Oryzias latipes: one gene and its partner. Each later gene encodes a partner of the first gene's protein in a complex. Links are inferred from orthologs where the notes say so. Each region holds a gene or a part of one and is shown on either strand. Other genes may lie near its edges.

Region 1 (15,972 bases):
GAATAGGTATTGCAAGTATATACGTGTAGTGTAGGATAGGAAGTAAACTAACTGACTGAACACTTCTTCGCAATAAATTGGATTATTTTAAGTTTACGATACATAAATAGAATATAAAAAGTAAACTTCAAATATATACTGCCTCACTTTAGTACAGTCTAAATATATTTGTACTTTTGGTGCAGGTGAACAGCCTCACCTGCCCTGCTCAGCCAGCAGCGTCCCCTCATCCTTCAGCCTCCTGCTCTTCTCGGCGCAGTCCTCCAGCAGGATTTCCCGACGACGCTTGATGGCGTGCAACCAATCCACCTCCTCTTCATCGGGAGCGGCTCCAGCGTCCTTATCTTTCTCAGTGTCAGCCTCAAACTGTTGCACCGATGACTTTGACACCTTTTCACCGATTTTCCTCTTCCAGCCAAATGAAGCCATTCTGTAAAACAAACAAACAAAAGAAAAAAAAAAGACTTTAATTCCAATGCTTTTATTTTGAAATAACATGATAAATTGTCATATTACGAATATTTTTTTGATTAATTGAAAAAATGTACTGACGAATTAGGTCATGTAAAACTGGAAGACAATTATGAAAGAACGGAAAAGTTAAATTAAACCGAGTCGAAACAATATCGAAAGCAGACAGTCGAAATGCTAAGGATCCAACGAGCTAGCATGTCCCCGGCTAACATAATCACCTTGAAACATAGACCCAATTTCTTGGTTAAAATGTGCTTTAGTTCTTTCTAAATGTGCACGAGCAAGTACAAATTTTACACAAAATACATGCAACTGTTCTGTACGCACGCGTGTTTTGCAGCTGTCCGCGAGCAAGAATGTTATGCTAAATTTACGCCATGTTTAGAAACGTATGTGGCGCGTTCACGTCGTGTAGTTAAAACCAAACACGAAACTGTAACTACACCGGAAAAGTTATGAGAAGAAAAACAAAAATTCAGACATTGATAGAAATATTAGCATACTAATACAGATACTCTACTTAACATACTATTGCGAGCATGTATAGATTCTGGGAATTTTCTGCTAAATGTTCTTTGCTCTACTCCAACACGATATGGCATTTTTAAATATAAATAAATATAACGATTTATTTTATTCATACCTATATTCCACTTAAAGTCTATATTATTTTTTATGTGTCTAAAATAGGGGTGTGATCAACTTTTTCGGAGAGGAAAATTACCTTCGACCTTTGAACTTTTTCACGTCCTACTCTAGTAGTAACTCGTAAACATAACATAAACCGGAAGTGGTCATAGCACGCTCCTCTAATAGGTCTGTTTAACTGATATAGAAACATATTAAACAATTAAAGTAAAACTAAAAAACTAACATAAAAATAAAAAAATTGAACAATTTTGGGGTTGTTATCATTGCATGGACCTGTCAGAACTATAGTTTTGTTTCAGTAAAGTTTTTTTTTTTTTGCCAAACAGGATTAATACAATAACAGTGAAATCAATTTTGAATTGAGATTTTTTTAATGAAAAAGTGCAGTTGCATTTTTTTCCCTTTAAATATATAAACTACATCCACAGACTTACCCGAGCCAGTACTATTATTATTATTGGTCTAATAGTGCAGTAATCTAATCTAAGAATGACTCAAATTTTTTTTAGTTTGACTATAAATAATATATATTGTGAATAAAGTTTAGACAGTAAAAAGACAGACAAAAAGTGCAGTTCAGCAGTTTATTAGGCAGTTGTGTATACAAATGATTCAACAATATTCATTCAAATTTACACGGATCAATCTGGTATGATCTGCTTTCACATCAAACAAAACACACACCAAAAAAAAAAAAGGTTTCTTTAAAGCAGTTCAAGAATAGACTAAACTGAAAAGTCTATCAGGGCACTTTTCCATAAGCTTGCAAAAAATACTTTTTTGCACACATTCATCTCTCTTGAAAAAATAAAAAAACACCACATATTCCAAGACACACTTTACCAATGATTTCATATCTGCCCTTCTAAACCAACATGAATGTTAAGTTTATCATTTTTCCAAAACAGTCTTTTTAGATTCATGTTATTTATAGGATTTCAACATAAAAGACTAAATATTAACTAAAGACTTCAGTCTACACTTCTTTGCAAGACACAAGAGAAGTGATTACAAATACAGCCACTCTAAGCTAGTTTTCATTGAATGAAACCTCTGAAAAATAATCTTTAATCCTGATGGGAGTCCTAAACACTGTAAACTTTAAATGCTGAGACTTCTTAATAGAAAGATCAAACGTCACTTGTTTGATTTTTGACTGTGCAAAGTTCTTTTAAAACCAGGTTCATTACAGGGAACTTTAAAACTAGAGAAACTAATTTAACTCATACTGTCAATTGGCTTTGGTGTTTCATAATAAAACCTGCTCGCCGTTGCAGTCGTCTTCCATAGTTTGGCAAAGTGTTGCTTTGATTGCAGTCAGGACTTCCCTCTTTCATTCCTGTAAATGCCGAGTGCTTTAACCAGAAAAAAAAATCCATTCCTAACATGGCTTCTAAAGTTCCACTAACAAGAGAAGTGGAGGACTCTTAAAACTGCAAAATCCCAACCAGCAATTAAATTTAGACTTGAAAAGTGATGAAACAGTACTTATAATGATAAGGCAGCCAGACATCACTTAAACCTGTAAGACTGGAGACAGAAAACAGAATGAGAATTTAAAAATAATAATAATAATAAAAGCAAACTAAGAATTGGCGCTGGATAAGAATCTTAATGGGTTTGTGTGCTTTGCTTCTATCATTTTAACAGCACCTGCCAATGCCAAACTCAGAGGTCAAGTTCAGGTTACAAGCATGGGTAAATCTTTAATTAAGGTCAGCCTTCAGAGGAATGCGTGAACAATCAGAATATGTTCAAAGGTGGAAAAGTCATGGATGTATTTTTCTGCCTGCACTCGGATCACTAGTCAGCTTGAAAATAGAAAAGCCCCCCCAATGAGGCTTTCAGGGGACAGATTGGCATTTGTGAAGTAAATGTCAGCAAAAGGCATTTTCACTCAGTCACTGTATTCCAATGTAATTAAGGAATGACAACAAAAAGGTAGAAATGAACCGGTCCTTTAGAGTGAGGCACCCCAAACAAAAATTAAAAAAAGATGCACATCTGGATTAGGTCTCTTGTGTTATGACACCTCCTAAATGGAAATCAACTATAATTCTCTTGAAAGACAATCAAGTGTCACAATAGTTGTGATTGAGGAAAAGCAAAATTGTAAATTGACTAAAAACAGTAGAAAAAAAAAGGTAAATAGATATTTTTACCATCCAGCAATAGAGCTTATAATACAAGAAAGAAAAAAAAATTAAATCTTTTTAGAACCAACACTCAATCTACCTAATGCATTGATAAATATATTCATGTCTTTATATATATATAAAAATGTGGGGGACAGAGAAATTCAAACAATTGTCTACAACAAGGACAAAACATGAACATTTAGTTTTTGCCATTTAAGATCGACAAAAGAAAAAAAAAAAACATAAAAAAGATGAAGCATTCTTTTTTTTTTTTTTGTCCCTGACACGCAGCAGAAAAACGCTGCACTTCTTCAGAGTCCGATGAAAATGACGGGCGCCGTTTGAAAGCGACGCCCTGGAACACCCGCACCATTTCTGAGACGCACTGAGAGGAAAAATAAACACGAGCAGCAAGTAAGAACAAAAACTTGTGCAAAAGTGCTTCCTGCATCCTTTTGACTGCCGCTCAACCATCCAGCCCCAGCAACTGACTTTCTTCTTTGCAGGCATAAATGTGATCTTGCTCCCTGGCAACAGTACACAACGTTCAGTGTCGTCACTTCCGCATGTTTTTAGAGATGGGATGTGGACATCTAGGTCTGAATTGATCCAAAAACTGTAAGACCTTAGGATAATTGGTGTTTTTGTGTCCTATGCAGTTTAGTATCTTGTTATTCTTTCCCCCTTACCTTTAAGAAAAACTCCTCCTACATCCCTTTAAGCTTAGGGAACACCAACCTGCATCGGTGCCTTGGAGGAGTCACCTCATCCTCAGCCAGGATGAGCTGAGCCATGAATCGGCTGCATGCTTATTGCTATAAAGACACTCAGAGAGGAGAAAAGGCTAGCTATGATTGTTCTGCAAGCTATCGTGCAAGTAGTTTAATAAGATTTGCGCACATCTCAAAGAACTCGATGGTGTGGCTTCCCGGTCGGGGGACAGACATGCTGTCCCCCGCCGTCGAGTCGATGGACGAGGTCAGGGATGAAGCTAAGGAGCCCTCGGCGGTCTTAGGTGGTAGCGCGGCGGCAGATGTTGCCGGAACATCTGCTCCTTCTGCATCGTTCTTTGTAGTGTTGCGGTGGTTGCCCACAGATCCAGAGCGGAGGGGGGTTGCAGTCCCAGACTTTGTCTCCAAAATTTCATCTGAATAAGACAAACACAAAAGGTTGTATTCTTAAACCTGCCCAAAAAAACATGCTTAAAGGCTCCCTGAAAGCTTTAATTACAGCTTTTCAAATGTTCCCAGTATTCCATCAATTATGATTTTGCAGTTTTTAGCCAAAAATGTAAAAACATGACAGTTTCTGCAGAGCAGTAGTCGTTCTTTAGAAATTCGTGTTTGAGTTGTGGGCGGGACCGTCGGCGAGCAGCGAGCTCGTAGCCCACAAAGCATATTTTCTACATATCAAATGCGATCTTTTCAAACTGCATTTATTTGTCTGCTTCTGATTCACAACGATTAGAATTAGGAAATACTCAGAAATGCAATTTAAGTTTTTTTTTTAAATCTCCTCCATCATCATAAAAATGGCGCAAGAACATATTAAAAACACAATTTTTCATCAGAGTGTGTCTTATAATAGTTCTGATCTATTATTCTTGGTTGCAGATATTACAAGTTAGCAGCTTGTCAGCAACATCTGCAGAGTTCCAAAAAAACAAACAAACCCTTTGTATGTCAGGTTAGAGTCCTGGAAGTGTGTTTACTAAAGCCTTCAGCTACACTTTAGTGATAAAGCTGAACTTGATGGGAGTGTAGGGCTCAAACTTTACACGGTTCGTTTGTGTCACACCAAAAGCTCAAAACCCCTCCCACCTCACATTTTCCTGTGAGCCACTGCCAAACACCCACACAGGCTCCCACATCTCCCCACTCCGAGTCAATCATTTCTGAAGTCTGTGGCGAAGCAGCACACCACAGGACAGATTCCAGGGAAACGTTCGGCACAGTCTGTGAGCTGCATTTGTCTTAATGTTCAAGTATTAAGCTAAAGAGAAACAATCTTTTTTAAAAAAAATCCAGTCCTAACCCTCTCCACAGGCTTTTATTACACATTTGGCTGTTTTTTTGTGACTTCAGATGACATTCAAAACATATTTTGTCCTTTGAAGGGTTAAGCAGCACAACACACAAACATTTATTAAATAACCTTTACAAAAACATCCACAAAAATAATCTATAGGCCATTCTTTCTTAAAAGAAATAAAACCCAAAAGGTAGCTTTGGTTCTTCTAAAATATTTTAAAGCTGAAACTAAAAGATGAAGATAAAAACATTCAGGTATTTAAACAAAATCTTAGCTCTGAATAATAAAAACAAAAACAAAATATTCCTAGAATGCGTCTTTTTTATAAACAGATAATGGCCTGATAAATGACCAAGAAGTGTGTGAAAGGTCAAAGTTTTACAGACTCATAAATCAAAAAACGTCGAACTGGTTTGAACATGACAGCAAATATTCATTGAATCAAAGTGTAGGGCAAATTGAGCAGATTTGTTGTTTTTGGAAATTAAAATATTAAATAGATGTATTTAGAAGGGTTCATTTTATCATACTTTCCCTTACTTTAAAGGAAAGCAAACAACAGTAGCTGTACACCTCCCTGTTTGTCCTCTTACAGTGTGTGTGTCTGCATTGTTTTTTTTTTTTACTTTAGTTACAGTAAAAAAAATAAACAAAAGAAAATAAAGATCTACACTAGGGCTGCACGATATGAAGAAAACTCGCAATATGCGATATTAGTAATTAATATTGCGATAACGATATAATTTGCGGTATATAAACAATTAGCAAAACAACCAAAAATATTATTCCCATTCCATTACAAGTGCTTAAAAATTATACTACAAATGACCCTTGTTGACGTAGGAGGCGAACATACAACATAATAGGGCGCCATCCGATTAGTTAACAACGTGAAGGGGTCCATCTGATTGGTCAAATGCAGAAAGGGATTCTTTCCATTAAACACTTCAAATTGCCATAAGATTGTTTGGCCACATCTAAGGTAACCATTTATTGCAAATTTGCTGTCTTTTGCGATATGCATATTGCACAGCTTGAAATTGCGATAACGATAAATTTGCGGTATATTGTGCAGGCCTAATCTACACACTTCCTGTTTGAAAGAATGTTGTAGGAAACTGACCGTCTATGCTACGGAAGTCGAGGAGGTAGGTTCTGCTGTCCACTTGGTAGAGTTGAAGACTCATCTTGGTTAGCATCCCTGTGACGGGGTTCTTCCTTCTCACACGCAGGTAATATGGGTTCACAACCTGAGAACATCCAACGAGAAAACAATCAGCTCACTGATGAAGACAATCTGACATATGTGATCCCTCTTCAAGGTATTGGCTTATTAACATAATGTAATCAGCCAATGATATCAAGACTACTAGAGTTTGGTTTATCGGACACCATTAAAAGCAGTCTTTAAAGAATTCTCATCTCTCACTCGGAGTTCCTGCATATAGGTGATGCATTTCCTCAGGACTGAAAATGTAAGATTCAAAAGTCTAGATGATTAGTTCAAGTCTCACAACAGCCTCCTGTGTGAATATTAAAACATGTCTATGGAAATTTCCCTGTGTGTTGTTAAATTATGGTCTTGGTCACAGTAATTACTTCAACTTCTCAAGGCCAATTAAATAAAAGCTAACTGCTGAGCTAATTCAATTTTATTTAAGTCAGTCTATTTTCATTTGGATGAACTGACACCAACTTCTAGAAATGTGGATGTTTATCACTAAAACACAGATGGGGAAGTTCAGGTTTATAAGGTTGTTCAGACTGAATTTTAAAAAGACATTACTGTATCGCAATGAGTGGCAGGTTAAAAAAAACAAACAATCCTCGCTAACAAAAAAATGCAATCGTCAAATCCATGAGCCCACTTTCTTTCTTTTTTAGGGAAGCAAAGCATAAAAAGAGAATGTGTGTCAACTTTAATATAAGATTTTGTTATTTTATTGTTAAAAGTTTCATCATTGTTCAATTTAAATAAGTTTTTAACAAAACAAACAAAAAAAAATCTAAGAAAAAAAATTTGATTTTAGGAAAAAAATAAATATTTAATCAAATCGTATAAAAAATCATATTGTAGTGAAAAAATTAAAACTGACTGGTAATGATTTTCAGACCTGATGACAAGATTATTAACATTGTTATTAATAAGTTATGTTAGAAAATCTGTGCTAACTGATGTTTGTTGAAACTAATATTGCATATTGACCACAGAATAACAGGAAACATATATTTTTTATGAAGGAAAAGTGAAAATTTCTCTCCTAAATTTGACCGTTTTGTAGTTAAGCTTTAATGTTTGGCCTCACTGTGGGATCTTCTGCATGAAGGTTCTTTTTCGTTTAGTGTGTAAGCTAGAAACTTAATTTCAACTAGGAAAAAAATTGTTATTAAACAGATTTTTATCTTAAGATTCTTGAGTTAGGTGAGATGGATAGAGAACCTCTTCAAAGATCAGGATGAAGGTCTGTTCATTAAAAAAATAGATTGTGTGGATTTAACGGGTCAGAACATGTTACAGGTTCTGGGATTTTAAAATGCTTGAGTCGCAACAAGCTAAGGAGTTCAAACAACATTTCAGTAGTGGCCATTTCATTTAGCAGGTGTCCATCTGGCGTGCAGACATGTTTGGCAGGAACCCATCCCCACACCGCTCAGAGGGACGTCCTACCTTCCACTCATAATCCAGCTGTTTCATGGCGCGGCACACTTCCGACATGATGTCATTGGGTCGGCTCTGACTACGGATCCCCAGGTGCCACTTGGCTCTCCGGACGCCCTGGTGCTTGGACTTCTGGGGGTTCAGTTCGTCCAGGGTGTGGCGGGGCCTGGGCGGAGTTTCCGCCACGAGGAAGGGTACCCGCTCGGGGTGGGGCTTTAAAACGCCAGCCACGGCTGCGGCGGAGGAAGTCAGGTGCTGGTCGTCCAAGAAGGAGTCGGGAGGGCTGGACGCCAGGTAGAAATCCTTGGCTTCGCTCATGATGCGCCGATTGTCAATGATGAGATGGTAAGCCACAGCTAATGGATCCTGATGGTTGCGGCTGTATAAGCAGGACAGAACCTCCTCCTCTGTGCACTCGAACTTCTCACAGACCTCCTTCAGGGCCTCGTCATCTATCATGTTGTTGCTGTAGGAGGGGTCCTCAGGGAACAAGTACTTGGGTAGATCTTGTTTAAACCAATCGTCCTCCCTGTGGGGAGCACACACTAGTTAATTTACAAAAAAGTGAGCGTTTGGTGTCTATAACATGTTCTTATGGCATTTTTCTGATGGAGGAGGAAAAATATGAAGAGAATTAGGCTTAAAATTGCTTTTCTGAGTATTTCTTCAATAAAATCGCAAATCAGGAGCAGACAAAAATATGTAGTTTGAAAAAGATTGTATTGGTTATGCTACTCCCTGCTCTGCTCTATTCTGATAGATGACTACATCCATGTCCGCCTTTGTTTTCCTTGTTTGATCTGGCATATCTGGCTTAGAAGATATGGCTGGATAGCTCCACTATTGCTCGCCATTTTTGTCGCACCGATAATGTCAGGTTTGGGGTGTGAGGGCTGTGAGCTGGTGGAAAAGCATGTAAACAGAGAGCTCTCAGCAAGGGGGGAAGGTAAGGGGGGGCAGGATTTCCTCCATGCCAGCGTTCCCGCTCACAACTTTCTACTGAACTCCTGCCGCTCTGCAGAAACTATTTCCTAGAAAACCACACAGGTTTTTTTTGTTTTGGCTAAAGACGGCACACACATAACTGAGAGGTCTTGGGGAATGCATTCGCAATAGATCACAATATGATCAGTCGGGGTGCAACGGATCATGGTACGCATCACTAGCCACGGTTCGGCACACACATGTACCACAGATCAAGCCCCAGTCTCGCTTCTCGTGTGCAACTTGTGTCCGCATCATTTAAATCAACCGTCTATTCACAACGAACGCCATTCACGTGTTAAATTTCCATGTCTCCGTTTTTGTTATAACATGCCTTAGTTCCTGCCTGACACACGTCCAAAAAGGTGTTAAGTTAAAGCCCCGTGGCGTGTGGGAGGAGCTTCCGTCTAATGCTTTTCTCGACTTCATCATGGAGGACGTGGATGATGAGGGATCAGTTCTACAAAAGCATCGATGAGCAGCGCACGTCTCTGTGTGTGAGTTCCTGACATCATTCAGAGACTCTCACAGCCAGGAGCAGGCGGTAGAAAGCCACCGCCCCATCTGTAACCAGTGGGAGGGGTTTTATAGCAGCGAGGGACACAGTGAAAGACTGTCAACTCATAAATTCTGACTTCATTTTTTTGAATATATATACATTTTTTTTCTAGACTCAATGTGTCATATTGCACTTCGTTTACATGGGCATGCTGAGTATTTTTTCTAGATAGGAATATCTTGAGTTCAAAGATGTTATTCATTTTTTGTTTTTGTAAATATTTTACAAACATTTGTGTGTGTGTGTGTGTGTGTATACATTTTGAAGTACTTGATATTTTTAATTGAATATATGTTTTGAAGCTTTTCCAAACATTAATTGTAGGCCTCTTTCTTGTTTTTATTTCCTTTTTACTGATCCAAAATAATGATCAAAACAGGACTCCCACTAATGCACCCGGAAGGGTCTTTAAGGTGTATTTTACTCAAAGCGCTCTCAGAAAATACGGGAGAGAACGGAGGTTTAACCCCCAGTGATTCTGACATCAGCAACACTGTTACAACTAAAACATGAGCGCACTGTTTACAGGAAACAAACCCACTCAACAGGTCGGCTACAGTCTAGAGTGCACATTCCTCCAGGGTCACGTGGTGTTAAAGTGAGCGAGGTCTGCCGTTTAATCAAAGCCATCAAGGAAGTGTGCAGTAGAGGCAGCTGTCAGCAGCTTCTGCCTCTGCCACAAGAGTCCTCTGGGGAGGCTCAATTCTCCTCCTAGAGCCTCCTCCAATAACTGAGGCCCACTTTGGCCCTGAGGCTAAAAATCTAGGAACTCTTGGAAGAAAATGATCAGGAATTGGGAAAAAGTTGCATAAGTTTCACAAATTAAAGTTCTTTAGCCTTTTTTTGGGGAGAAAACTTTCAGGATTCAATAGAGCAGATTGATGAGCTTGCCTGCATTCACCACACAGCAGCTTCCCTAGAGTTTATTTATATGTTGGTTCCTTGCAATATCGTGGTTTATCTCACAATGTTGCTTTTTTTTTTGCAGATTTTTGTGTGCGATTTTGCATGCTACTGTCAACCAATCTCTGTGCTGTGTCTCCTGTCCAGAACGTGTTCAGTTTTCAAAATCTTTGATCAGACCTTTGTTTTCATTCTATAGTATTACATTTATTTGTCTATTATGGTTTCAACTTTGAGAATTTAAACAAAGGAGTAAAGTGTGAAACTGTTCATGAATTTCTGAGAAAAGTATATCAAGAGCATTGTGAGGGGTTTTACAGCCTTAATAGATATTTGTAAAAAATAAAGTTGACTACTTTGCAACCATTGACTGTATACGAGAACTGGACTGAGTGAGTGTGACCTCACCCATAGAAAATGGATTACTTCCAGCTCCAACGCCATCTTTTCCTGATATGGACACCGCCATGTTGGAGCCCGACGTCACTAAGCTGTGATTGGTCTGGGTTGGTCGGTGTCCTTATTTCTATGGCCAATCAGGAGTGAGCTTATTGAAAGTCCACACCCCTTTCACTTGAAAGCGGCGGGCTACATGAAATCTGTTTATCAGACGTTCTGAACGTTCGACGTGAGGGCCAGCAGGCACCACCTACTTTTATCGAGGCATCAATTGGTCGGTTTTAAACTTGAATGAAAAAAAAAAGGATTAACTAAAACATTTTTAAAGAAAAGGTAGCAGAGCAGGAATAGTTATTCTGACAAATAGAATGATTAATATCTAATAGTAATAGCCATTTACTTCTCAATAGAAGTTTTGGGTTCTTGGAACCAACACGTACTTAATATTTGGATTGCGAGGGGGGAGGAGTGACTCAGTCCAGTTCTCACATACAGTCAATGATTATAATGCAGATGGTTTTATTGACTTACAAGAAAGGGTTCAGGACAAAACTAACCATGAAATTCATGTTACCTAAACGAAATATTGTAAACAGCCTGGTTGATCTTACCGGATCTCTTTGATGGTGGCTCTTTTCATCGGGTCCACCTGCAGCATGTGTTTGAGAAGGCTTACTACTGAGGGGTTCAGATACTGCGGGGTGAAAAAGATTCCATCGCAAATCTTTTTGAAGAGAGTTGGCACATGGTCATCGTCAAAGGGGAGCGTCCCACACAACAAGGCATAGAGAATGACACCACTACTCCAGATGTCCACCTCTGGACCTGCATATAACCTAAAAAAACATAACAAAAAGCAACAATTAGAACAAAACTCAACAAGATATTTACAATATTTCTTTCTTCTACTAAAGGAAATGCAAATGTTACCTTCCTGAAATGACCTCAGGAGCAGCATAGTTCGGAGAGCCACAGCTTGTCCTGAGGAACTCTCCGTCTGACATCATGTTTGATAAACCTGCAAGAAAATAGAATCCTCTTAGAAACATCTTCCTGCACAAGATGGAGAAGTTAAAGACCCACTCCGATGGAAAGTGTCTTTTAAATGTGTTCAGGAAAATGAAGTAAAAATGTGCATTTCTGAGTATTTATTTTTTTCAAATTGCGCATTTGTGACGTTTCTAATGAACTCCTGCTGCTCTGCAGAAACTATGTCCCAGAAAATTACAGTTTTTTTTTCAATTTGGCAAAAACCAGCATAATTAAAGACCACTGGGAAGGCGTTTAAAATACATCAAAAGACGATTGCAGTGAGACTTTCAGGTGACCTCCATTACACCATTTTTAATCATTAAACTATTCTTCAAGTCTTTCCATAATCCAGCCTCCTCCAGCTGGTTCCAGAGCAGCCAAAATTCTTGAAACGGTTTGGCTCTTCCGTGTAGTTAGATAATAAAGTTAACACATTTCATATTTATATCCATTTGAGCTTCGGCCATCAAAAGTTCAAGATCTTCACACAAAAGTTGAAGTCATTTCATTTCAGCCACAAGAGAGAAAAAAATATCTATAATCCATCGGAATGGAGATTGTTTGACAAAACCATTCCAGGACAGATAATGAGGATAACTTTGTGTTAATTTCCTGCATAGCTCCGGTTGAAAACATGACCTTCAAAGTGTGTTTTGCATGTGAGCTGTACATTATGACATTTGTGTGGAGAGGAAAATATTTTAATAAAGAATTCAACAACTTTATTAACTTCAGGTTTTTTTTAATCAAACCAAAAAGTTCCACTTCCTTCTCTTCTCAAGCCTGTATTCGTCAAAATATTGTTTAAAGCAGCGGTTTCCTCATGTCGTCATAGGTAAACTCAACTGATAGTAAACACCGATATGCTTGACACTACAACCAAAACTACAGGTTTTAGGAATAATAAATACCTACCAAAATCTGCAATCTTTGCATTCATGTGTGCATCTAGCAGCACATTTTCGGGCTTGAGGTCTCGGTGAACCACCATGTGTCTGTGGCAGTAATCCACAGCTGAGATGATCTGCTGGAACAGCCGACGGCTCTCTTTTTCATCCAACTGTTAAAGCAGAAATGACCCATTAGGTGTGATCTCTCGCGGCTGACTTAGAATCATTTGGTATTATGCTTTCTTTCTTTTTTTTTTTTTCCACAGCCAGTGCCAACTTTGTGGTTCACACTGTGTCAGGATTACTCAATCACAACAAGCACATGCAGCTCTTCTTCTGGATTCTGGTTACTTTAAAAATAAAGTTTGACATTTACTTAAAAAAAGTAGAAAATCCCTCCTTATATTTAAATACTAACACAGAGGACAACTTCCAGTATTAGAGCAAATTACCTTTCCATTCTTGCAGATGTAATCGAAGAGTTCGCCCCCTGAGACGTACTCCATCACCATAAAGATATCTGTGGGGGTGCTAATAACCTGATACCTACAGCAAAAACAAATGAAACGTTTAATTAAGAGGATTAAACAGCCGAGGTGAGAGATAAATGAAAAAAAAAACCATCAACAGTGCTAATGCTCAAACAATAAAAAGCAGTTAAATTACAACTTCAAAGGATGAAAGGTGGGTGAAAATCTGACCAACACAGTAAATTAGTGACAAGCTTAAAAACAGGGAAAGAAAAAATATGTTTATTAAATCAAAAATAGGTGAAATAAGGCAAAATTAAGTTAAGTTTGGCGCTTCAGTGTATAAACAATGTTCTACAGCTTGTTTGCATCATTCTCTCATGAAATGACCCATCTGAGTCTAAAATTAAAGTACCAACTCGTGCAATGGCCATTTATGGGCTTGAAAATGGTTCTATGGCTGTTCTGTCAGAGTTGCTGCCACTAGGGGGTAGTTTCAGAAATATGTGGCACATCCTAACAAGGGGGCTGCCCTCTCGGTTGTTTGTGTTCTGTCGTTGGTCCATTAACTTTGCTCTGCTGTGGAAAGCCCAGAGGTCACCATGGACAAAGAGCAGCTCTGGGGAAGAATGGAACCAGCAGTTCAACTCCTGCGAGACTTTTAAAACCTTTTAAGTATTGGGGTGCTGTCCTGGGAGTGCAGTTTAAATGAGTGATTAATGTTAGTTGTCATCAAGCTTTTAAGGCAAATTTGGACCAACCAGCATTCAGCCTTTAGCCATTTGCTAAACAGTGCTGGTTGGACCGCGAAAATTCTTCCCTTCACTCCAGCGGGTAGGGAATTGGATCAGATGAGCTCTGACAAAAATGATTAACAGCTTAAACAAAAGTTATGAGCAATACCAAAAGTGATTTAAAGCTATAAATTCAAAAATAAACCTGAACATTTCCTCAGTAATATATTTGAGATTGAGGGCAAACAAGTCAGACAGAGAGGAATGATGCTGTCAGACATGATTCACTAAGACGAGGCGATTCTGCGAAACCAGCAGAGGCTTAAGTCCACAGATATTGTCCTAAATGGATGTGGTCTAAAACACACTATTAAAGTCTGAAAATAGCTCCGTGAGTGGTATTAATGTGGCGGCGGAAGGATTAGAGAGCGGCGAACGGTGCGTGGTGTGTAATCTAGGACTCACAGTTTAATTATGTGAGGGTGCCTGAAAAGTTTGAGGTTCTGGATCTCTCGCCGAATCTTTCCCACCACGTCCAAGCTGCGAATCTTCTGCCTGTTCAGGATTTTCACCGCCACTTGATGCTTGGTAAGTTCATGTTGGCCCACTGCAGGACAAACAGATGACAGGTCATAAATATCCTGGATTTTTAAGAATAGTTACATGGAAAATACAAGCCACAGTTATTAGGAATTACTTATTCAAAATATTATCAAACATAGTATTAAAAAGTAACTTTAAAAACAAAATCTTCTATTTAAATAAGCTGTTTTCGCAAATATTTGTTAAAGTTCCAACATTCCTAACGGAAGCTGCATCCATTCATTGATTACCAGACGGGACCTTTTTTGCATGTGTCACTGTTGATGCCAATTCATAGATTGATTGAAATTTCCCCAAACGGTGAGAGAAGCAAGTCTGCAGGAAGCTGAACAGTTTTTTTTTTAAAGTCTTTCAAAGTTCAAGTGGGAAATCAAAACAAGCTCATTTCATGGCTATGTGGGCCAAACACGTCCAACTCTGCAGTTGACCTTTAGTCTGAATTTACTGAAATTATGCTATTAACGTAAACCCGTTCAGATAATAGAAATAAATGAAAACTTTGATCGTGTGGATAGATTCAATCAGAAAAAAATATTTCCGCACAACAAAGACATTAAAGCAGCACAAAGAAAATACTGCAACTACTACTGGGAGTTGGAGAACAGTTTTTGCTTTTTAAGTTGTCCCATCGAGAAACACAAATCTGGCTCAAAGGGATATCATTTCACCTTTTAAAATACAAGCACGTCAAAAAACGTGTCCACTCATCCAACAACTATCTTCTGGCATCCAGGATTCGAGCTGCGGAAGCAGTAGTTTTAGCGAGGAACCCCAGACCTCTCTTTTCCCAGCTACCTCTTCCAGGATACAGCTGGGAGATCTAATCTTTCCAGAATGTCCTAGGTCTTCCCATATGCCCCCTCATAGTTAGACACACTCTTAACAACTCCCTAAAAAGGCATCTTTGTGGAATTCTCACAACGTTTTTTTTTAGTTTCCAGATATGTTTTAAATAAAGGTTAACCAATGTCTATTTACTGAAACCATGTTGGTTTAAAGCAGTGCTTCTCAAATAGTGGGGCGATGCGATGCCAGGGGGGGCGCGCAGTAGTGGCGGTTTTAGGCACAGGTAATACGGGCAAATGCCCGGGGCGTGGTGGTGACAACGGCTCAATGCTTGGGAAAAAATCTGCGCCACTATTGGTTTCCTATTATCTGTTCTATCACAGAGTTTGTAACAGCCTGAAACCTGTGAACCGCCGTCCCTGCAGCTGCTCCCGTCTCCTGTCACACACGTGTGTGAGAAGGAGAGGGGAGGGGTAGTGGGCTCAGGCTGCGAGGTGGAACAGCACACGCTGAACAACACCAGGATCATCACATGCCTTTAGATTCCTCAGCTCAGGCTACTAATGTCATTCTTTATGAACTATTGTAGACATTTTGATGCCGTGTCTTTATTTTCCATAAATGTATTCTTTGCGTCTGCCTGTGGTTTAGTCGGTGTC
Region 2 (16,051 bases), on another chromosome or scaffold:
CCCATACTGGATGTAACCCCAGACCATGATTTTTCCGCCACCAAACTTAACGGTTTTCTGGGTGAGTCTTGGGTCCATGCGGCCTCCAGTTGGTCTCCTGTGATGTAATTCAACTGAAGACTCATCTGAGAAATCCACCTTCTGCCACTTTTCCAGCGTCCATCCTTTTAGCAGCTGTGGGCCTTGGCAAATGCCACACGTTTTTTCAATTGCCTTTTGTTTAGTGCTGGTTTCTGGGCACTGATTCGACCATGGAGGCCATTTTGAGACAGAATTCTACAAACTGTTCTGGTTGACACAGGGACTTGAGTTGACCAGGCCTGGTGGAGCTCTGCTGCAGTGGAAAAGAGGCTGGCCTTGGATTTTGGAACCAACAAACGGTCCTCCCGAGCAGTTGTCTTGCAGGGTCTGCCGGACCTGGGCTTGTCAAAAACATCTCCAGTCTCTTCAAATCTTTTTCTTATTCTTTGTACTTGACGCTGAGACACATTGAAGGTGTCAGCCACCTCAGCAGTGATCTGGTCTTCAGCCTCTTGATAATCAACGCTTTGGTCTCAGGGTGAATCTTAGGCATGTTGTCAGAGGTCAAGTTGCAGTTGATGTGAAGGCTTGGTGTGCTGGGGTTCTTTTTATACACACCCACTAATTGATTGATCAGTAATTGATCACAGCTGAGGCTGTCATCTAGGATTGGGTGCATCATATGACAAGGCGACAAAACTTTTGTCTTGCCAAAATGTGACCTTTCTGTGTTCATTAAATGATCAATCTTTCTTCAGTGAAGCAATTTTATTTTAGTATATTGAACATAATTTGGGAACGTTTTAGCTTTCATGAGACATTTCTAAAACCAATGGATTCATTAACAGTGAGGTTATACGCTTTTGTTTCTACAAAATAGATAAGCAACAAGACTTTTGTCAGGGACTGTACAATTTCTTTCCAGAAACAATTTTATTTCAGATGCCAGGTATTTGTTTGGAAGTAAATGAATCATCACTAATGTTTTAATTTTTAAATGTGTTATTTATTTGTCAATATTGAGTCATTTAGCACTTTTATCCAAACCCTCCTATAAAGCATTCAGTGAATTTGAGGCAATGTGAGGTGAAGTATTCTGCTGAGAACACATAAAGGCTCTAAAAACCAGGAATCAAACCACCACCAGGCAGACAGCTCATTCATATCCCGATTTACAGCTTCATTTGTAAGGAAATGGCAGGTAAATCTTTTACATTTTTAAACATAAACCGAGTTCAGAAGTAGTTAGCAGAAAGTCAGAGTTGTGTTGAGAGTAAAATGACCTCAGCAGTGAGTAATCTTCTCTAAAGCTGTTGTAAGTGGGATGAGCTAAGCACAAGAGATCAACAGACAGCGTCTCGGCATGGGAGACTCCTCCTCTTTGTGATTTACTGGGAATGAAAATGAAGAAAGGCTATCCGCTTGCAGGTCCTGGAACAACTTTGTTGTTGTTTTAGAGGAAATCAGGAGAACTCTGGAGGAAGAGAGAGGAATCTACCTGCAGTCAGAAAGGTCACAGATACCGTCACGGTAAGAAACTGAACTCAGTCGTCTGTATGCTGGTCTAATAACACTTTACAGTTTGCAGAAAGATCAGTCCGAGGCTTTGAAAGACGAAAACCAAGACTTTCTCAATGACAAATCAAAATATTATTTTTCAACAAATCTGTCAATAAAACAATGATTTCCTTGCTTTGAATTCGGTAGAAGTTTTCTTGTCTGAAGTTATTGGGTTTGGGTTTCAGATTTAAGTGCATGCTGGACTGTTGGTTTGACGCTGTGAAAGAAAGTGGAGAAATTCCTTCATCCAACAGAAACAGTTGCAGAGACGGAGCAGCAGCACCATGTGACTGAGGTAAATCTGAGGTGGCTGTTCTTCATTTAGCTGCGCCGTAAACGCAGCAGCACAGTTACTGCTGATCCACCTAAGTGGCCTTTTGAGCTCATGATGCCACACGTCAGACACAATCGTAATCCCTGACTCCAGTCACCCTTTGCAGTCAACCTGTGACTCGCCAACGTGCCAAATCTAAAGCCTGGTGCACTGTTTGGTGTGACACACACCAACAAGTTTGACACCTCTGATTTGCAAAAGTCATGGATGGTTTGTGGAGAGGTTTTTGCCTCATCAGTTTCTGTTTGTAAAATATTTTTAGATGTAAAGGAAGAGGCCAGTGTTCTTTTGGAAGATGGCCTCTGTAGCGGACGACCCACATCTGGGCTCGGGTCCTGATGAGGACGACTCTCCTGCATCAGGACGAGACACGGACGCCGACAGCATCCTCTCTGATGACTCTGTGCTCCCAGACTACACACCAGAAATCCCAAATAACCCAACAGCTTCCAGCCTGTACGAGGCTTGTCTGCGCAACGATGCCATTTCTCTGCAGAAAATCCTGGGGGGAGGAGTTTCCAAGGAGGCGGTCATGAAGCTTGACAACAATGGCAGGGTGAGAGCTTAATCCTCTGAGAGACATTCTGCTTTTGACAGAGTCACTGACCGGCCTTCAATGGTTTTACTTGCAGAACTGTTTGATGGTGGCCTGCTCCAAAGGTTTCATCGACATCGTATACGGACTCCACCACTGTCCATTTGTAGACATAAATCACCAAGACAACGAGGGAAACACCGCACTGATGATCGCGTCTCAAGCAGGTGAACAGTGACAGTTGCTCCATCATCAGAAGTGCAATCTACCAACTGTGAGGCTGAACATCTGTCCCGCTGCAGGTCACATTAGCACAGTCATGTATCTCCTGAACTACTTTCCTGGAGTAGACACTGAAGTGAAGGACTGCAGAGGCTTCACAGCCCTCATCAAAGCGGCGATGACGGGCCGCGATGATGTTGTGGCTGCACTTGTTATGGCTGGTGTGTAAGAACATGAAACCCACCCACAAACTGTCACTCTTACGTTCAACTTTTAAGATACAAGATTCATTGTAGGCCATGTTTGCCTCTGGTGATCAGAGTACAGGAGCCAATGACCCAAGATCAGTTTAAGGGATCATTCAGAAGGAATTATCACATCTTAACATACATCCAGTAATCTCAAGCTTACCAGTATCCTGGTTAGTTGTAGCTAAATCACTTGCTTATTTTTAGTTTACTTGTTACCGAAAAATCTATGAAAAACCTTTTTACTGTACACATTGAACGTAAATGTCCCATAGTTGAGAAAAAAACCTTTAGTTGTTTGATTTTCATCATCCAGGAGCAGACATACATGCAGTGGACTCCACCCGTGGAAAATGTGCCCGGGACTGGGCCCTCAAAACTGGTCGCTATGAGACCTTTCATCGTCTCCGGCGCCTCGCGGCGAGGCCAAAAGCAGAGCAGTTCTGTGAGAACTATGTGGTCGAGTGGCCTGAGCTCAGGGAGAAAGTGGCCAAAGCCGCAGCTCAGAAAAGTCCAGCAGAGAAAATCACATTACGAATCAAAAACACGTTTGGATTCAGCTTTCCACGCGATCCCCAGGACAATGGGGTCTTGGACCACATGGTGCGCATGACCACCAGTGTCCACAGTCCTCTGATTTCTACGGGATGCCGGCCGCTCTGCCCCACAAGTCCTCCAGAGATGGGAAAGAGGCGACTGGCTGTAGCAGAGCTGCTGAAAAAACACTCTCTGAAGGAGCTGGAAGAAAGCTCCGTGTGCCACAGCATTGGCTCAGCGTCCCACGTCCTCCCCTCAATCCACTCAGCAGAAACCGTGGCCGCCACATGCTGCCCCGACACCGAGCGGCGGGGCAGCATCCTCTCTCTGGCCTCCACCAAGGTTGCTACCGCATTTGTTCCCCGCAGCATGGCGAGGAGGAACAGCGTGTTTCCTTCTGGGTGTATTCCTAAAATCAGCGTGGACACGCCTGCAGATGCAGCGCCAAAGAAGGAAAAGAAGAAGAAGAAGAAGGAAAAGGGCTATCTGGAACCCCCCAAGTGGAAATATAAGGAGCAGAAGGACGAGAAAAAGAAGGAGAAGAAGAAAGCTGAAAAAGAAGAGAAAAAGAAAGACTGTAAGAAGAACAAAGCATAGGTTTCTAACAAGTCTTTTTTTATTTATCGTCGTGTTTATTATGAGAAAAAAAAGTTTAATTTATATATTTTGTTGATACTTTTATGATCATGGCAAAAACATTAGATTCATGCTTGACTATTCAGACAAAAAGATATGTAATCATAAGCCTATGCCACATTCACTTGCATAATATGGACCAAGAACCCATTTGTGTTTAGCCATTTTGTACAAATATATAATGTTTCCTTAGGGAGAGTGAATAATTGAAGCTCCTTTTGCTACATGGCTAAAGACTAGATCTTTATTCTGTAACCCTCATGCAGTATAAGCAAGTAAAAAAGTGTGATTTGATTCTGCCAATACTGTGCCCTTAAAACGTGTTCTGTTTGTGAATGTTGAGTCCAAAGTTTTATCCTGATTCAAGTCCCAAATAAACACATAGAAAAAGAAAACATGACACAGCTAGATTCAATTCACCAGTCTGAGACCAAACAAAGCATCAGGACTGTAGATTGTAGTACTGTTGATCATTTAGTCGTAAACTCCAAACGTTAAAATGTTTTACTGAATTCATTGAACTCAAATTAGTGGCTTTAGTTTTGCTTCAGCTGCTCAGTGTTGCTGCTGTTCCTGTTCATACCTGTGCGCTACAAACGTAAAGATGATGCACAGATCATGGATTATTGTTACCTACGCTGGGCCTGAAGTGCAAATAACATTACAAAAAAAGGGCTAGCCGCAAAAACATTTTAAAGACCACAACGGCGATTAAAACAAAAAAAGTCAAACAAATATTTTAAAAAATCAGCATCACATTTGAGAAACTCAATAAAATTCCAGAAACCAAAACATAAATATGATACAAATTTATAGAAAATAAAAGAAATTTCCATTAAACAAAATGAAACATTTAAAACAAGCACAAAGGTAGGTACTATGGGACATTGCTGATTGTAGGATGATGTCTGTCCATCATTTCAAATGGAAAGTAATTAGACATGAAGCGATATATCGTCATACAGTCAGAGATGTCTGTTGTACCTTCTTGTTCCGGTTTCTTATTGGGTTCATTTTTCTAACATTTTGTTTTGTTTTTTGGAATTTACTTTAGTTTTTTTACATTTGTTTTCTAAAATGTAATGCTGATTTTTTTTAAATCTGATTTTAACTTCAGGACCATCGTAGTTAGAGCTAAAAGAAAACATTCAAATGTCTTTTTTTTTAATGATTTAGGCCCTAATTAGAATCTAAAAATGTCATTCTAATATTAAAGACCCACTCAGATCATCTTTTCATCTATCTTCAAAGCTTCCCCAGTGGTCTTTAATTATGATTATGCTGTTTCTAGCCAAAATCCCAAATGCTGTGTCATTTTCTAAAACATAGTTTCTGAAGTGCGGCAGGAGTTCATAAAAAAAAAATCACAAATGTGGGCGGGACTGTTGGCACGGAGCAACCCCATGCTAACATGCTGCTGGCTTCCAGTCCCTAACATCCCTAACCTGACATGGTTTGATCCACATTCCAGCTCAGACGAGGAAAGCAGGTAGTGAGGAAAACAAAGACGATCATCCAAGTGGATGATCAGAATGGAGCGGAGCAGGAAGCTTGTGGTCCGCTGATTGGAGCACCTACATCATTGCTGCAAGCTTTTTCAAACTGCCTTTTTTATTTTCTATTACACAAAATAAGATGTTTTTGTGTCTACTCCTGCTTTACAACGATTTGAATGAAGACATCCTCAGAAATGCAATTTTGAGCTTAATTTTCTTTACATATTTCTTTTTCTATTATCAGAAACAGTAACATGTTAAAAACACCACAAAAAAAACAATTTTCATTGGAGTGGGTCTAAATATGGGAACTTGATCGCCTGGTTAGATTCTGTTTAATGGTCTGAAAAAATCAAAATGGTTGATTGAAGCAGGAAGACAAAGAAAGGTTGGATCTAACCACAGACAGTGCTCAGCTTGTCTCAGGATAAGACAATGATGGAGGGAAATCTTTCACTTTAGTGATTCGAAACTTGTCTATCGTTTCTTTATAAATGCTTTTTTGTCCTCTCTGGCAGAACTGAGGACTGAAGGACTACAGAACATTTCCTAAAGTTTGATGGGGTGGAACAGAGTAAAATGAAAGTTTACTCTGTTTACCTATCAATCAAAAACATGTCTAATTGTGCACAAATCAAATTCTAATAAAAATTTAAAGCAGCTTCAGATTCGGTTTTAATCAACAAAATGTAAACATCGAAACAAGTTTTTGCAAACAAGTGTGTAATATTTTACCTTTTAACATAAGAGTGAAGTGAAAGTGCTGCCTCTAGTGGTCATTTAAGGAACTGCTCTATAATCAGGGTCTGTGGCCATTCTGAAACTTGAACTGAGGAGCATTAACAACGTTGCCCTTGTGTAATTATTGCAGTTATGAATTATGAATCTAATCTCTGCATAATTGACTCCTGAATAGGGCTGCACGATATGAGGAAAACTCGCCATATGCGATTTTAGTGATCAACATTGCGACGACGATATAACTTGCGATAAATGAACAAATAGAAAAAACGTTTCCATTTCCCGGCAAAAGTTTAATTTAACTAAGAGTCAAAATACCTTAAATTATTCTCCAAATGACCCTCAGGCAACATCTAACATAAAAGCTCCATCCCATTGGTCAGCAACGTGAAGGGCTCCATCTGATTGGTCAAATGCATAAAGGGATTATTCAATTCATTAAATAGTTGTTTTAGCACCTTTAAGGTTTACCATTTATTGTGATTTTCGCTGACTTTTGCGATCTGGACATTGCACAGCTTGAAATCGCGACAACGATAAATCTGGGATTAATTTTGCAGGCCTGTGCTGAATGGAACATCCTATGCAGGCTGTGTAGGGAAATCATTCAGTCATAGTGTGCATTAACTCAGCTTTCACAGAAACTCCTGAAAGAGTTAGTGCAAACTTGAAAATAAAGAGGCAAAGATTTAAGGATATTATGCATTTAAAAGATGCCAATGAATAACTTTTTATTGCTTTGTCGTTAAATTGGAGCTTCAGTATGGATAAGAACAAAACCTGTGAATTTACAGAGCGGTTTGCATTCCGTCTTCAATTCATGACAACAATAAATGACAGGACGTGTTGGTTTGTGGTGACTTTGGAGTACAGAAAAGAAAATACAAATAAAAGAACCTGTAATATCTAAACTTATGACTTTTTATGGATTATTGACTGACAAAAAATCTCTATTTGTATAATTCGACAAAATCTTAATTTGACCAAAAAGATGTTTTGCACAAACATTAGACTTTGAAGCAACGATGTAAAGTGTTGACAATATAAATACAAAACCCCAAATGCGGGTCAAAAAAAAAAAAAAAAAAACCAGTCAAAGCAACAAACAAACAGTCCATTAAACATGTAGCTTTACAAGATGATGACAAAATCTTTTTCTTAAAGATACTAACTCCCAAATTAAATGGCTGGGTAATTTTTTTAGCAATCCCGTCATGTTCTGGTCATTGTTGTAGATTATGACAGACATGAAATAGAGGAGAACTTTGAACTTCCTACAAGGTCACTCTGAAGGCAGACGTGTTGACAACACTGACAACTAAATTCATGAATGAAATAAGATTCATTCAAAGAAAAACGTTAAGAAGCGTCTCTGACTGGAAGGGCTTTTTAAAGCTGCAACAGTCCCATCTTTTAAGATTATAAATCTATTCCTTCTCTTCTCTAAAAATGAGCCAATTGAAGAAAAAAAAACATTGCTGGGTAAAAACAAATCCATGGATATGTTCATTGATTCCCATCCCAGCAGCAGGTGGATTCATTTAGGGCAGAGTTTAACTGTGCTTTGACATCCTCACCTGCCTTAAGTGGACTTCAGGTGTGTTAACACGTCTCCCTCCGCCCCTCACCGCCTTTAGTTCTGATCTGATGCGGAGCCGTTTCCTAATTCTGAACGTTCACAGTACTTGGGGTTCTGCAGGAGCGCAGGTTTGTTTCTCATGTAGGCTGAGTAAATGTCACGTCATATTCAAAGTCAAATGTGTGCAAACTTGTAGATTATACTACATTATGCTAACAATGGAATAATATTGTTACATATTCAAATCTAACAAAGAGATTATTATTGATTAAATTAACATCATTCAGGTTAAAAAAAGTCTAAAGGGTGTTTTTAGAGCCACAGTGCTCCCATTCTTGCAGCTCTTTTGTGCACATTTTAATGTGAGCTACATTGTCATGTTGGCAACTCTCAAGTGGTTTTAACTGAAGGACTTTAAAATGTGGTTAAAGTGTTTACAAATTTTAAAATAATGCAGCTCAGTGAAGAAGAAAAAAAGTTTATTGTGCTTAGAAGAAACTTTGAAGGGGAGGCAGATGTTAGCATTAGCATATCCATCTGACGGCTGTTGGAGGACAGCTCTTTTAGTGTTCAGTTGTGTGTGCTGCAGGAACAAACTCCAGGTTTGGAACAAACCAAACCAGCAGAGTTTGAACACAGCTTTGGAGTTAGGCTCCCCCAAGAGGCAGGTCAGTACTACTATGATTATTATGATTGTGACATCATCAGACATGATCAACCTCAGACTTTTGCAGAGAGAGCAGAGCTGCAAACATTAGACATTTCAAATGAGCCTTCTCACATGCGTGGCCTTTCTCTCCCTTTGCTCTGGTCTCTTCTGAAAACATGATCAGATGTTAAGTTGAACCTGTAGATGGAATGATCAGGAGTAAAAATCCATCAATAAACAAAACAAAAAACATTCCATTGTATTGATAGTCAAAAACCAAGGGGTGTAACGATTAATCAATTATTCAGTGAATTAATTTGTGGTCCTACGATCCAACCAGATCCATCCGTCTGGGGCAAATTGTTCATCAAGTTGACTAATACCATTATAAGATAATTTCTAATTCAAATAAATCAATTATATCAATTTTGGAAAATAGCATCTGGATTGAGGTAAGGTAGGTTTATTTTATTATAACATGGATTCTTTGGACGTGAAAAAACAACAGTGGGCAGGAAACTAAAACGTGAATGGATGTGACATTCATTCTAGTTTACTTGTTTGATTGGACACATATTTAATTTCCACTTGATGATCTGGAAGAAATCCAAGAATCTGGAAAACTTCACTGTTCAGTAGCAGGAATTTCTGTCTGAGTCTCACTGCTGGAAGTTTGGATAAAGACGTCCTGGATCCACTTTAGGTCAGAGAATTGGATCATTCAAAATGAACCGATATGGACTACGAATCATATCGTCAACCACAAATGATGATATGAATCCAATCATTGATAAAACGAATGGTTACACCTCTAATAAAAACTGTACTTACACTCTTCTTTGTTAGTTAGAACTAGTGCTTGGAGGATATCTGACAGGGAGACGATTCCCTTGACCACTTCCTGTTCATCCACCACAACTAGTCTGTGCACCTGGAACAAAAGAGGAAGACCATTTTTATGGAATACTCCTTTCAGGAAAGCAAAAACGTCTTTTCTACATTTCCAGTCAGAACTGGGTGGAAGTGGAAAGCGAGCCTTACCTCCGCCTCCACCAGTCTGTTGATGATGGCCTCAAGGGTGTCGTGTATGTGGCAGGTCAGAACCCCCTCAAAGTACTGAGAGCGATGCTGCAGGGCTTTGGTTACAGTCACATCCAGGTTGTTGTACGTCTTTTCTGCTGCCAGATTCTGCACAGAGACACCTTGATTTGGCAATTTTCCTAACTTTCCTCACTGATCAATATCCGCAAGTTAGCGCTTAGAAGCAAGACGGACCAGAGTGGTTACATGGTTCTCACACAGCTGTGACAAAACAGAACATGCTGCATGAGGGGAAAGGTTTTAACTTACGATAACGTCAAATTTAGAGTATATGTCCACCACCCGTCCTGCAAAGCAGAGACATCCCATCAGACCTCGGAACAAAGAAAACTTGCAAAAACAGAGAAATGACTTTAAGCAGCCCACATACCTTTTTCATCCACAACGGGGAGTGCAGACACACGCTGTTCAACAAAAATACCCAGAGCTGTGTACACAGGTGTGTCTTTACGCACCATGGCTATGTTTTTAAATGTTCCAATATTCAGCTCCTCCACGGTTTTACTCAGGAATGAGGGTCTGGGCATCTCTGATATCTGAAAACAACAGATTATAACCATCCCAAGAAAACAATGGAAAAATGCTGCCAGGCTAACAAAAAGAGTTGTTGCCCCACAGTAGATTACTGCTGTAAAATGTGAAACTCGGGTAAAGACGACCTCAGAGGAACTCACAAACAGCTTCAAGAACTTGAGAATCCTCTTGTGTGTGAGTATATACAGGGTGTTCCCTGTCAGGGGGTCGATGACTGGCAGTCTGTGAATCTTGTTCCTCAGTAGAGATGACACTGCATCATACAAGCTATGGAAAAAAATCCTGTGAGATTCTATGTAGACTTTTTGGTCAGCACTTTTTTAAATGACAGATGCTAACATAAAGAAGTATAAAGCTAAAGCTTTTGAAGTGTGAAAAACAAGCCCACCGTAAGCTGAAATTTGGAATAGCAGCCACCAATATAGCTTCATGTCATTATTGCTCCATTTTTGGGGGTTAATAAGGTACAGATCCACCACCAGTGTGTGAATGTGTGAGTGAATGTGTGTGTGACTGGATGAATGGGTCTGTGACTGTAAAGCGCTTTGTCCTTGTAGGAAGAAAGGCGCTATACAATTATACACTATTTACCATTTACCAGATTACCTTTTCAAAAACTCTGACATAGTTCAGTACAGAGCCCAGTCAAGAACCTATTGCTTTCAGGCATTTGCAGATTACAGTGGAATCCCTGAACAAACATGTCAAGCCATTTCCTAGTTTCTCTTTTGGGGTAAGATAATGTCAAACTATTCCATCAGTGTTCCGGAGATGACCTATTCAATTACCAGTGCTATTCCCAATGCCGGCCCTGAAAAGGCTTAGAAATGAGCAATTTTCTATGAGAACGCCTCAGCTGTAGATCCACCTTAAAGACCCACTCCAATGAAAATTGGGTTTTTGATGTTTTTAACATGTTCTTGTGGCATTTCTCATGATTGAAGACACATATAAAGACAAATTTAAGCTCAAAATTGCTATTCTGAGTATTGCTTTATTCAACTTGCTGTGAATTAGGAGCAGACACAAAAAAAGCGACGCATAGAAAAGATCGTATGTGTGACGTTGAAAATACCCTGGGCGGGCGGCCACAAGCACCCTGCTCCAAGCTCTCAGCGACCAGGAGGGGAAGGGGGGCGGGGTTGCTCCACACCAACAGTCCCACCCACAAATCATAGGCAAATTTCTAATGAACTACTGCCGCTCTACAGAAACTATGTCCTAGAGAAGATTTGTTGACTTTGGCTAAAAATGGCATAGTCACAATTAAAAGACCACTGGGAACGCTTTGAGAATAGATCAAAAGATGATAGTATAATATAGGCAAAAAAACAAAAGACATTGTTTGCCCACTCATCAAGACTTTAAAGTAAAAAAAAAAAAAAAACACAAAGGTTTAAAGTGCTACTGCTGCTCACCTGGCATTGGGAGAAATGCTAACCAGAGGTTTGAAGGAGTCTTGAAGGTACAGTTCTATTGGAAACATAAAAGATCTTACTGCAGTGAACGTAAGAATAACTATGCAGCAAAACTTGTTCCAACCATTCCTACCTCTCCATGTTTCAATCTTGTGTTCTTCTAGTTCATAAATCTGAACCTGAAAGTGTAAATAGAGTATTAAAGAAAGTAGCTACTGTAACTAACATAGAAGTCTTGCAGCTGAAGTTGGACATTTGAAGGCTTCGTCCACTGGCGGACTAAACCATCTTACCAATGGTGACTTGTAGTAGCGATGCAGAATGTTGATAAAGTCTGTGATGGTAAGCATTCCTGTAGGGGAAAAAAAACATGAGCTATAAAGATGTTTATTCACTGAACTGAAATCCAACAAACAAAACAAATCTTACCGACAAAGCACTGTTTCTTACTGTCCCACAGAGGTGCTGCTCTCACCCCATTGGACACGAGAGCAAAGAAAGCCTTCTTCACCTGCACAATTATTGACAGTTACCAACGTTCAAGTGTTCATCTGATGGATTAAAAGGTTTCTCTTACCTGAAGTGATGTGTCAAACACAACTAGCTTGGAGCTGGTAGGTACAAGATCATAACAGCGATGAGACTTCATAAACCTCGTGTACGCATTGTGTTCGGAGTCTGAAGAATTGATCAAAACAAAAATGAAAACACACCTCAGTCAGTCTACGTCAGAGTCATAAGATCTACAGAAAAGTCTGTTACCTTCAATGACGGGGTCTTTCTTGCCCTCAAGATCATCAATAGTTACTGGAATCTGGGGAAACAATTACATAAAATAATAAAAAGAGCAGTTTAAAATATACCAACTGTACCAAAATCATAGGTTAGGATGGCTGACCAAATAACTGGATTAACCAAAGAACCGGAGTGAACATGTTAATGATTATTTGAAACACACCTGCGTATTTTGCACCATGTCAAAGTTTCTTTTAATAAATATATACTTACATTTGTTAATTTACCCGTTTGTAAAATAAAAACAATTTCCGTTGACGAAACTGGTCCGACGTTGTTCATTTAACCACCAGGAGAAGCCACGCAAAACAACAAACTAGTTCCTGAGAAGATGTTCATGAATAGATATACTTTAAGACGAGGTTACAGGTTATAAACATGCAGAAAGTACTTTAAGAGCCTTTGTTACTGGTTTTCTCTACACTAACGTGTTAGCTTGTTAGCTAACGGTCTGTCTGTGTCAGTCATTTACCTTCCCTCTCGAGTTAATTATTGGTTCAAAGACTTTAAAGAATGTCTTTATTATGCTTACTACAATTTAACCCGTTTATCCATGTTTGAATACCCGTAAATAAACCGTTTCCGAGGCCGAATCCTCAGATAGGGAGATTTCTAAACACACAACCGACAGATCGAAAACAAACGTGAAAAATAAGTTCGTAGCTAGCAGCTAACGCTAGCACTGTTTCCAACGTCGGCTTTAATGATTGTATGATGAGTTAGGAGCATATTGTGAGTAGGCTTTTAAATGTGCCCAAATAAACAGAGCCAATCACTTACACAATCCATATTCCATTGCCCGTTCGCCTCCTTTTGACCGGGGTGACAGGACGCCGCGCCAATCTATTTCCGCTCTGACCAGAGGAGCTGGACATGCGCAGTAACGAAGTCGCTGTAATCGGTGTCTGAAGTGTACACAAACAAATCTAGCCCAACCTTTTTAACGCCGCGGACCGGTATGGCGTCATTCAAAACTTACACGGTCTTTAAGATGTGGCGGGCCACTTTTGTAGGCAAGTTATGGAGGAACGGAGACATTAACATTACGAACACCAAGCTTTTATTTTGACAGACATGTCGTACACCGCACAGGTCTCATCCTCTCCCCTTCCCACTCTCGTGGTGCAAAAGAGAAGTACTGTATCAAATGTAGCTTTTTTTTTGGAAGTGGAAGGCTCCTCTTCTGCCTCCTGGCTGGCCCCTTTCCCCTTGGCAAATAAACTTTCCAAAGGAGTTTGTTTTACTCCTTTTGTTAGCTCCTGGGTTTTATTCTAGCGGTAACCCATCACGTGACCGAGAAGAGCGCCTTGGCCTGCGTCCAAGTGACATAGACGGTGTAACAGAATCGAGCAGTTTTTCAAAATAAAACATCTTTCAGATTCCGAAATAAAGCAAACGGATGACAGTTATTTATTCTGTGCGGCCCGCCAAGACCCAAGGACCGGTTATAGAACACATTTACATTTCTGGAATAAATTATGTCCTCAATCTTAAAATAAAACATGCAGTGGTTGTTTTCTTTTTTTTGTTACTTGTGACCGAATGCCCTTACATTTACACCCCAAATGGAGACTGGATTTGGTAGTGGTTAGTATACAATGTGATTAAAAACTTGACACAAGTTCCATAAAATTGAAGGTTACAATATACTCGTACAGTTGGACCGCGCTCCAACACTGCATGAGGGCGGCTGCCTCCAGGGACTCCTCAGCCTCACTGCACCAGTGGATAGCCACCAACAACCCCAAGGGAGATCTCCAATCCAAACCCTCATCAGGAGTACCTGTTCAGGGCCGCAATACACACAAACAAACCACAACCCCAACAGTGATTAAAAGAAAACACAAAACAGAGGAGGAGCACCGGAGCAGGACACCACTCTGTGTGGTTTCAAAGCCCTGACTGGGTGGTTTATTTTTCTGGCACAATTACATGAACCCCAATGAGGCTTAATGGGGCTTCTATTCCCATCCCTACTAAAAAGGTCCACATGTCAAGATCACTCACCAAGGCCAAACCAGGAAACCAGCGTCTAGCTGGGACTCCCACAGCTGCCCGTAGAACATAAATTCATTTTGCATTGTCTTAAAAAAATTGGTTTTGGTTCAGCTATTGTTACATTATACCAAATTTTTAACAGCTCTATTAAATTAGCAGGTGGCACCTCTCCCAGATTTAATCTAGAGAGAGGAATTAGGCAAGGTTGTCCTGTTTCTCCATGTCTTTTCCTTTTAGTTTCTCAACTGTTAACAGATCACATTAAATCCAGTGCAGTAGAAGGCATCAATCTCTTTGACAAAGAACTAATTATTACTCAACTTGCAGATGACACTACACTTTTTCTAAAAAATGAAAAGCAAATTCCTGTTGCTTTTGACGTCATTGGGACATTTTCAAAGGCGTCCGATCTTTGTTTGAATGTCAATAAATGCGAATTAATGGCAATTAAAGAATGTGTTGCTACCACTTTGTATAATCTTCCAGTTAAATCTGAAGTGAAATATTTAAGCATTTTAATACCAAAAGACCAACATGCAAGAAGCTCCCTAAATTGTAACCCACTAATAGAAAAAACGCAAAGGAAATTGAATCAGTGGCTCTCCAGAGATCTATCCTTGAGAGGTAGGATTTTACTCAGCAAAGCAGAAGGTATTACGCAACATAATAACATACGCAGCTTTGGCTTTACATGTGGATGATATAATTATCAAATAAATTGACAAAATGCTTTTTAATTTCATCTGGAAAAACAGAACCCATTACTTAAAAAAAATGTTCTCATGAACTCCTGTGACAAAGGTGGCCTCAATTTTCTCGATTTTTCTACCTTGAATAACACATTTAAAATGAATTGGCTAAAACAACTTTTTAGAAATCCCAGCTCCATTTGGAACACTACACCTCTTCATCTTTTATCTAAAATTGGTGGCGCTGATTTCTTTCTCATGTGTAATTATGATGTATATAAAATCCCACTTAAGTTATCTGCATTTTATCGCCAAGCCTTCCTTTCATGGTCCCTTGTATACAAACACAACTTTTCACCTCACAAATATTCTATCTGGAATAACAAGAACATTTTATATAAACATCAATCACTCTTCATAGAACATTGGTTTCGAAATAAGACTATTTTTGTGTATCACTTATTTAACAATCAGGGCTTACTTTTAACTTGTGAGGAATTTCTATCTAAATTTAACTTCCCTGTTCCACCTTTAGAATATGCTAGAGTGTTTGGAGCTATTCCCTCTGGTGTCTGCATGCTGTTTAAGTTCCAACACAGAGTTAATATTGAGGAGCCTTTTCTACTCTCTCCCATAAATACTCCTGTGGGGAAAATATGTCTGACCGGTTATCCCAGGAAAAAAACCAAAGCAATAAGAACATTATTTCAAACGAACATTGTTTCACTACCTCGTAGCATGTCTTATAGGAACATGTTTGCTGAAGACATTGCATGGAAGGAGGTTTGGCAAACACCCAATACATTTTTAATCACTAATAAGGTTAAAGAAGTTTCTTTTAAGATTATCCATAAAATTTATCCAGCTAAAATGTTTATACAAAACAGATTTAAATTAAACATTGAGACACTTTGTAGTTTTGGTTGTAATTCCCCTGAAACAGTTATCCATCTTTTCT

The links.
Region 2: the proteins of prkaa1 (region 1) and prkag1 are in contact, whole or in part, in a crystal structure (PDB 6C9H), measured with the Homo sapiens proteins. The link is inferred for Oryzias latipes from reciprocal best matches to the Homo sapiens genes PRKAA1 and PRKAG1. Residues at the interface, in NP_006242.5 of Homo sapiens: Ser295, Ser296, Thr297, Met298, Ile299, Asp301, Glu302, Lys305, Arg342, Glu347, Ala348, Phe351, Tyr352, Leu353, Arg369, His371, Pro372, Glu373, Pro376, Phe377, Asn449, Val451, Thr452, Thr536, Pro537, Arg538, Gly540, Ser541, His542, Thr543; in NP_002724.1 of Homo sapiens: His36, Asp40, Leu41, Ile42, Pro43, Thr44, Ser45, Val50, Leu64, Val65, Gly68, Val69, Arg70, Trp75, Ser77, Lys78, Lys79, Gln80, Phe82, Pro158, Glu159, Ser160, Gly161, Asn162, Lys170, Arg171, Lys174, Phe175, Leu178, Phe179.

Annotation. Positions count from the first base shown.
Region 1 is NC_019870.2:7,425,212-7,441,183, reverse strand, and holds the end of prkaa1 (5'-AMP-activated protein kinase catalytic subunit alpha-1), read right to left. Parts: intron 14,532-15,972; coding exon 14,390-14,531; intron 13,267-14,389; coding exon 13,173-13,266; intron 12,891-13,172; coding exon 12,746-12,890; intron 11,817-12,745; coding exon 11,729-11,816; intron 11,635-11,728; coding exon 11,410-11,634; intron 8,483-11,409; coding exon 7,963-8,482; intron 6,545-7,962; coding exon 6,418-6,544; intron 4,411-6,417; coding exon 4,130-4,410; 3' UTR 1,696-4,129; downstream 1-1,695. Other genes in the region: ttc33 (tetratricopeptide repeat protein 33), read right to left, coding at 200-429. UniProt on the Homo sapiens protein: Catalytic subunit of AMP-activated protein kinase (AMPK), an energy sensor protein kinase that plays a key role in regulating cellular energy metabolism.
Region 2 is NC_019863.2:4,031,583-4,047,633, reverse strand, and holds prkag1 (5'-AMP-activated protein kinase subunit gamma-1), read right to left. Parts: upstream 13,098-16,051; 5' UTR 12,689-13,097; coding exon 12,620-12,688; intron 12,426-12,619; coding exon 12,374-12,425; intron 12,290-12,373; coding exon 12,189-12,289; intron 12,123-12,188; coding exon 12,041-12,122; intron 11,964-12,040; coding exon 11,905-11,963; intron 11,791-11,904; coding exon 11,745-11,790; intron 11,667-11,744; coding exon 11,612-11,666; intron 10,461-11,611; coding exon 10,334-10,460; intron 10,196-10,333; coding exon 10,030-10,195; intron 9,947-10,029; coding exon 9,909-9,946; intron 9,747-9,908; coding exon 9,600-9,746; intron 9,490-9,599; coding exon 9,390-9,489; intron 8,757-9,389; coding exon 8,746-8,756; 3' UTR 7,019-8,745; downstream 1-7,018. Other genes in the region: photoreceptor ankyrin repeat protein-like, read left to right, coding at 2,211-2,471, 2,548-2,677, 2,753-2,893, 3,237-4,006, 6,108-6,113. UniProt on the Homo sapiens protein: AMP/ATP-binding subunit of AMP-activated protein kinase (AMPK), an energy sensor protein kinase that plays a key role in regulating cellular energy metabolism.